Cricetulus griseus: one gene and its partner. The protein of the gene in region 2 purifies or fractionates together with the protein of the main gene of each other region. This does not show direct contact. Links are inferred from orthologs where the notes say so. Each region holds a gene or a part of one and is shown on either strand. Other genes may lie near its edges.

What was found. The genes of interacting proteins can lie anywhere in the genome.
Region 1: the proteins of Rnf19a (region 2) and Sod1 purify together in Homo sapiens (affinity purification with western blotting, with the first as the bait; 3 studies listed by BioGRID). This does not show direct contact. The link is inferred for Cricetulus griseus from reciprocal best matches to the Homo sapiens genes RNF19A and SOD1.

Annotation. Positions count from the first base shown.
Region 1 is NC_048597.1:7,466,042-7,470,118, forward strand, and holds the start of Sod1 (superoxide dismutase [Cu-Zn]), read right to left. Parts: upstream 2,938-4,077; 5' UTR 2,833-2,937; coding exon 2,761-2,832; intron 780-2,760; coding exon 683-779; intron 1-682. UniProt on the Homo sapiens protein: Destroys radicals which are normally produced within the cells and which are toxic to biological systems.
Region 2 is NC_048603.1:15,215,501-15,218,818, reverse strand, and holds part of Rnf19a (E3 ubiquitin-protein ligase RNF19A), read right to left. Parts: coding exon 3,179-3,318; intron 1,833-3,178; coding exon 1,619-1,832; intron 487-1,618; coding exon 343-486; intron 1-342. UniProt on the Homo sapiens protein: E3 ubiquitin-protein ligase which accepts ubiquitin from E2 ubiquitin-conjugating enzymes UBE2L3 and UBE2L6 in the form of a thioester and then directly transfers the ubiquitin to targeted substrates, such as SNCAIP or CASR.

The sequences.
Region 1 (4,077 bases), on a different chromosome or scaffold from region 2:
GGGGTGGAGTGGAGAGGAAGAGAAAGCTCTGACAATACGAATGAGGCTCTTCTTACAAGTTTGTGAACAAAATTCAGATCTTGCCAATATGGCAAGACCACTAAATGCAATCTAATCCACCACCACTTAAGTGAAAGGTTTTATTAGAAAGGGGAGGGAAAGAGAAAAGAGGTAAAGAGCCAGAGAGGACAGAAGAGAAGGGAGGGACACCCCTCCCTCCGCCCACTTCTTGCTGACTTGATCCTAAGCCCACTGAGACACTGACCTTCCTCCTAAGCTGTACCTTCAGTTCTCAGCACTCTGCCCCACTGTGACTCTCATTGCAAGGCTTGGAGCTTTCCCCGACACTGTGCCTGAAACACCCACCCTCACCCCCCAGTGCCAAGCACCTCAAAGAATTACTCAAAATCAGCAGGACTTTAATTTTTTGTTTCTGTGTTTTAAAGTTAAGACATTATCACAATAAAGCACCAACTCCTTCCCCTTCCCACACTTAATGAATCAAACACTACTTTTTGTGGCTACTTTCCTCAAGGTGACCTAAGCGGTTATTTTAACTTAATTTCTTTAAAAAGTAAAAAAACTCTTAATTTTTTAATCATTAGCAATTGAGTTTTGACTGGGTCCACGTGCTTCATTGGTCAGCCAGGTATAGATGGTCACTACACAGCACAAGACCTACCTTGTGTATTATCCCCAAACTGATGCACATGGAACCCATGCTGGCCTTCAGTCAGTCCTGTTATCTGTCCTGAGACCACAACTGGTTCACCACTTCCCTTTATTTAAAAAAAAAAAAAAAAAAATTAAGGCATCAAGTTTGATCGCAAATGCTTCAACATTTGCAAAGGAAATTGCTAGTTTACACCTTTACCCTTTGCAGTAAAAGGCACACCCCCCACCCCCAAACAAACAAACTGTCCAAATCCAGGTGTACCCACCCACACCCTACAAGTTGACTCTCCAGCTGCTTAGCTCTAGGTCTCTCTCCCTGTCAGTCTTCTTGTAACACTTGCTACCAGACGCCATGTGGGCAAGCAAGCTCCTGGGCAGAACAGCATTTCAAAAGCTACCAGCAGAACAACAAAATTAAGGGGGCCACCCCAGGATCCTTGCTCTCCACTCAGCACTCAGGGATACTCATCAGTTCCTATCAGTTCTCTTATTTTTATTTAGTAGCCAGGAAGTATCATGTCCTACTGCCTCAGGGGATCCATCTGGGTCTGACCAGAGTTACTTAAAAAAAAAAAAAAACTTATTAGACATTCAAACCTAGAGAACTTGCCACTTTACCAAAAAGAACAATAACAAACTACAGATAGTATTGAAACAAAGGCAGTGTCACCAGCCACCATTCAGGAGTGTGGTGACGGTTAACTTTGCTGTAACGTTACATCCAAAACTCAAATTAGTATAGCCCCAGAGAGATTGTAACAACAGAGAGAATCAAGAAGCAACTGCAATCAGGAACACATAGGCTGAGGCCTTTCTTTTTATCATGTTTTTAAATCTCCAACTTTTTCAACAAAAGAAGGGACTTTGGGTAGAAATTTTTGACTTGAAAAATTTGGCAACAGGCTAAATCAAACAGCATTGGTAGCCAAGTTACTGCAAGTGCCAATCTGGAATGTTTAACTATCTAAGGGTCTGGTCTTCAGCGGGTACAAAGGGCACCAGCAATACGAAGTTCCTGTGAGCTGCTTTGGTGGACGGCGACAGGAACCCGGCTGGACTCGGGGGTGGACCTTTAGCTAGTTCACCTTGCTCATGGAAGGGAAAGAAGCCCTTCCTCACAGTGGTGAATTTCGTGTGGAGGAGGGGGAAAGAAAAAGAGACAAAAACAAAAACTTACACAGAGAGGGAGCAAAATGCATTCAAATGCCAAAGCAACTGCTGAAACCGAGACAGGTTTAGGAAAACCCAATTCACGCTATCAGCTCTCCCTCGCATCGGGGGAAGACACGCGTTCACTTCGGGGTCTGTCTTCTCTTGTCTACGCAAAGCATTCTAGAGCGCACGTCCACACTCCATTTACCAAATACTCTCTCGGGACTAAGCTCGGGATGACAAAATTTCCCTGCAGACGGGATGCTGCTCTGGGCTCTGGACACGATCTGACCACGAATATCCTCCCTGTGACGCATGCGTTTGTTTCTGCAGTCATTACCGACAATATTTCTTTCGCAAATATTTCTCCCTACTCCTCCGAATGCGCGCAGAAACGTGCTGCCCTAAAAGCACCGATGCCCGGGCCTCTGCCTGGGGCTCGGAGAGAAATCAGAGAGGCAGTGGACGACTGCCCAAGGCCGGCTCTCCGGCTCTCCCCCTCGCGGCGCGGCGCGGCGCGGCCCTGACCTAGTGCTCAGCAGCCCGGGACGCGGCTTCAGAAAGCCACACTGGCGTCCTGAGCCGCGCTGGCCCCGCTCGTCACCACCCTCTTCAAGACAGACGCGGCCTCTGGGCACAGGGCCGAGCCCGTGGGGCAGGGACACCGGAAAAGCGGCAGCCGCGGCGGGAGGGACAGCGGATGCCCGGACGGCCCTGCGGCCCGGGCGGGCCTGGACGCTCCGGGGCGCGGAAAGGGGCCCGCCCGGGAGGTCCCGCGGCTCCCCGGCCTCCTCCCCCGCGCCCAGCCCCTGCCCGCGGCCGCGGTGACTCAGCACCTAGCGGCTCGCAGGCCGCGGCGGGGCGTGGCGGGCTCCCTCGCAGGTGCGCGGCGGCGTCCCCGCGGCCTGCGCCCCGCCGCGCCCTGGGCCTTGCCTTCTGCTCGAAGTGGATGGTGCCCTGCACCGGGCCGTCGCCCTTCAGCACGCACACGGCCTTCGTCGCCATGCTTCGCGAGGAGACGCGCGGCGGCCTCGGGAACCGGAGGACGGCGAGGAAAACGAGGAGACACACAGAACGCAGCGCAGGAAACGCCGGCGCAAACTTCGGCCTCGCCGCCGTCGCCGCCCTTTTATACGTCCGAGCCTGGCCACGCCCATCCTGGCACCGGACCAATCGCCGCCCGCGGGCTCCGCCCACCCTCCGTGGAGCTCCTGCGACGCGGGGCACGCTGGGGGGCGGGGCTGAGGGTGGCGCCGGCTTCTAGAGCGCGCGCGCGGCGGGTCGGAAAGTTCCAGAGAGGGGGCGGCGCGGGAAAGCGGCCCTTGTCTCCTCAAGGGGCCGGCCGTGCCGTCGCCGTGGAAACGCCCTGGAGGACGGAAGCCGCTCGGCCAGGAAACGCCGGGCGCCAGGGACTTGGGTGAGCGCGCCCAGGTGGCCTCTCCAGAGTCGGGATGCGCCGGGGTGGATGCTCGATGCTCGCGCCCTGGCTTTATTCCCTCATGAGGGTTAAATGTGCAAAGCCCTGCCAGGCCCTGTCTCCATCCGCGCCCTTTTTCTCGCTGCAGTTAGTCCAAGTCCTTGGCACGCGCCACGATACTTCTTGTGTTTTTACTTGTTTTCCTCGTACTGGGGATTGGACCAAAGACCTCCCACGTGACAGACAAGGGCTTTACCGCTGAGGACCATCCCTCTTTTTACCTTATTTTTTTTTAGACAGGATCTCAGCATATATCCCATGCTGTATGGGAACTCACTGTGTAGACCAGGCTCGCTTCAAACTCGCAGAGATCTGTCTGCCTCTCCCTACCTCTCAGTTCCTGGGGTTAAAGTCCTGGCTGTCCTGGAACTCGCTCTGTAGAGCGGGCTGGCCTCCAACTCACAGAGATCCGCCTGCCTCAGCCTCCCCAGTGCTGGGATTAAAGGGCTACGCCAACTCCCCCTCTCCGTCTTTTTACTTTTTTAGACAGGCATTGAACTTGAATTTGAGATCTTGCTGCCTCAGTATCTCCAATAACTAGGATTGCTTGTCTGCCCCACCATTCCCAGCTAAATTCTGTATTCTCTTGCCAATTTGACAGGTCTCTACTTAAAGATACCAAAATGGCAACAGAGTAGCTGTCAGGGATCGCCTGTGCCTTACTCTGGCTTTAAGCCATGCCCTGAAGGACTCGATGTCTGAGGAAGTCATTTTCGATACCTCTGTGCAACAGGTGAAACATAGTGTTTCAAGGGAAATGTTTCTAAAATGTT
Region 2 (3,318 bases):
CGATGCCAGCAGAGACCACAAGAGGGCATCAGATCCCCCAGAAAACTGGAGTTCCAAGTAGATGTGAGCCACACAGTGTTCGTACAGAACTGAACCCAGGTCTTCTGGACAAGGAACCAGTGCTTAACTACTGAGCCTTCTCTCCAGCCTCTTCAGGCTTCAAGTTTTAAAATAGTACCAGGGACATTTACTGCTTTTCTGTTGTGGGCATGGACTTCCTACCTGGATGGGTTTGCGCCTTTCAACATCTCGCTGTTTTCTTGGAGACTGTGCCCAGTGGGCGGGATCATTCCTTTTGAGTGAATTAAAACACTTCTATTTTTACAGGGGAGTCCTCCTCACCTGTCCAGAGGGATGCAGGAGTTGAGAATGGATCCGGCCATGGCTTTGGTGCTGGCATTATCACTCACTGTTCCCAAGCTCACGGTGCCGGACTCTCCACTGAGACTGCACCGTTCTTTCTGAACATCTGCTTGAATCTCCAGCCTTAAAGAGGAGGGCATCACACACGCACCCAATCACTTATAGTTCCGCAATCACAGTACATATCTTTAAATAATTCAGTGAGAAACTTTGGTAATGAAAATCTATTTTAGGCACTGTAGTTTTTCAGTTCCCACTTCTTTTATTATCCAGATTAAACTGTGGGGTACTGAACAACACCCAAGAGGACTCAAGAGAACACTACCCAAAGGAAGATCAAAAGGAAACAGATCTGAATGGTCTCCACGGTATTTTCACTAGGATGCAGTCCTCTGTCATGCTCAGGACAAAATACAAAGTCAGAGTGTATTAATCAATAAACATGATAGATCCATTAATAAATAAAAATCCCTCTGTTAACTGGGTGTAGTGGCAAATGCCTTTTATCTCAGCCCTCAGGAGATAGAGGCAGGCTGCCTGGCCTGTATGGTGAGTTCCAGGCTAGCCAGGGCTTGCAGCATCCCAGCTGCCGGTCAGACCACCAGCACTCCCCTCTCCTATGCTCGGGTTGTGCCTGGCTTCTGCTACTGATATTGTATCTAACTGTGAAATAATTCCAGAAATTAAGCAATTTCCTGCTTTAAACTCCTACATGATTTCAGAAAGGATATTAGATTACACAAAGTACAAGTCACACTCTATCTCAAATAATGAAAATAAATCCTATACTAAAAAGGGTTCTGCTCAACAACTTCAGCCTACATCTGATTTTGTAATAAGAGGTAACAACATATACCAAATTACAACGTAGTTTCTGTCCAGCTACCTGAAATAAGATAAATACGACTTTTAATTCATCTACCCTCTCCACAAAAGAGCTAACACACACAACAGTGAATAAGAAAAATGACGCAGTAAGATAAATGTTGACTTCTCCTCCTCATCTCCACGGTATCAGTAAACAAGCAAGGTCGACGCTAAGCATGGCCTTTACTCTAGTGAACACAAATGCAGATCCTTGATCAAATCAACTTCATCAAGTGTAGTTATTTCTCAGGGCTTAAGTTTTTATTACAACACAAGTACCAAACACAGTACTTTTAACCTTTGGGTAGTTATCATGCATGCTTTGCATTCATATTTTTCATCTAACTAAGGTCTTGTTAACAAACCAAAACAAGCAGCTATTTCTTACCTGTTGAAACAGTTCACCATGGCGCTTCCTGACAGACTTCCCGTTATGCTAGCTCCAGCTAAGGCCATGGTGCTGGCTGTCTCACTCAGGTTGTCTCTCATGGTGCCTATTCGGTCCATGTGACTTCCACTTGCACTCAAGCTGCCAGTCAGACCACCAACGCTCCCCTCTCCTATGCTCGGGTTGTGCCTGGCTTCTGCTACTGATGTTGTATCTAAATGTAAAATGATTCAAGAAATGAAGAGAGAATGATTACTCATTTTCCTGCCTTAAACTCCTACATGATTTCAGAAAGGATATTAGATCACACAAAGTACATATCACACTCATGGTTAGGCATACAGAGAGCCATTTCAGGGTGTACTGCTCAATCTGAGACTGGCCCTAAATTTAAGATGGTCAGTATTTGTTGTTGCTAAGTCCAGAAGATTCAGGGATTTGAACAAATGATTTAGAAGACCTCCCTCGACAGACTTGGTTCCAGTGAGAGATCCTGTTCTCTAGATCAATAAGACAAAACGGACAAAAGCTGATTTCTAGACGTAGTTCTAATTGTCTATAAACTATTACAAGATGCTATAGGATTATATTCTAATTTTACAGTACTATTCACTTACTTACGCCAGTATCTGAGTTCCTATTACATATTCAATCATGTGACCAAGCAAGACAGGGGAGTGACTATAGTGCGTATGTCATCCCTGGACACCGCTTTACAACATGGCCAAGGAAGGCCTCCCTCGAGCCACACGAGTCATAAAATGAGCATTCCAGGCAGGGGTAACCACACGTTTAAAAGCCCAGAAAGCGGAGTATTAACTGTCACCTTCAAGAAGAGGTGGTGTAAGACAGTCAGGGCAGACTGTGAGAGCAAGGACCAGACACGCTCCCCAAGGAGACACACGAGAGATTTCATAGAAGGTGCACAGAGGGCACCAAAGGGCTTCGTTCTTAGACACTGCCCTGAGACACACACTTGTGATTAAAACCACTGGGTACAGGACAAGCACTATTTCAGCAAGCTGACACTCCTACTGCCGGTGTGTGAATAAAGCCTCTAGTCGTGGAGATTCCTGCCCACTACAGTTCTAACTTGTACTTCTTTGAGTGATACAGAAGTTTTTCATTTATTGACCATTTGCAATTCTTTTAACTGCAATGCTCTTCACATCCTTTTCAGACTTCATTACGTATGGAGTGAAACACTGTATGAAAAGGCTCTAACTCCTAAATGTATTCTTGTAAGAGGTGAGCACCCACAGCCACCCCTCCTCTGTCACACATGTCTGACCGTCACAGTTCCTTTCACAGCTATGCTTCTGGATTAAAACTACGAGGCTGTCAGACATTCACCTCTGATCTCAGCACATCTGAGGCAGAGTGAGCCTCGTCTACACACTGAGTTCAGGCCAGCCAAGGCTACACAGTGAGACCCTGTCTCAGAGAGGAAAGAGAAGGGGGGGGGGAGGGGTGTGAGACAGTAAGAACACAAAAAGGCCTAGTAAAAGGAGGACAGTAGGGCTTAATGCACACATTTCTTCCCATGTTTAAAGGACTCACCTATAGCTGTGTTAGTTCCACCAACATTTATGTCATTTTCGTCATCAAATTCAATTCTGACTCCTTTCCCATTGCCTGCTGAAACTCCACAACCCCCACTTCGGCAGAGGGAGATTGGAACAACACCATAAACATAAGCT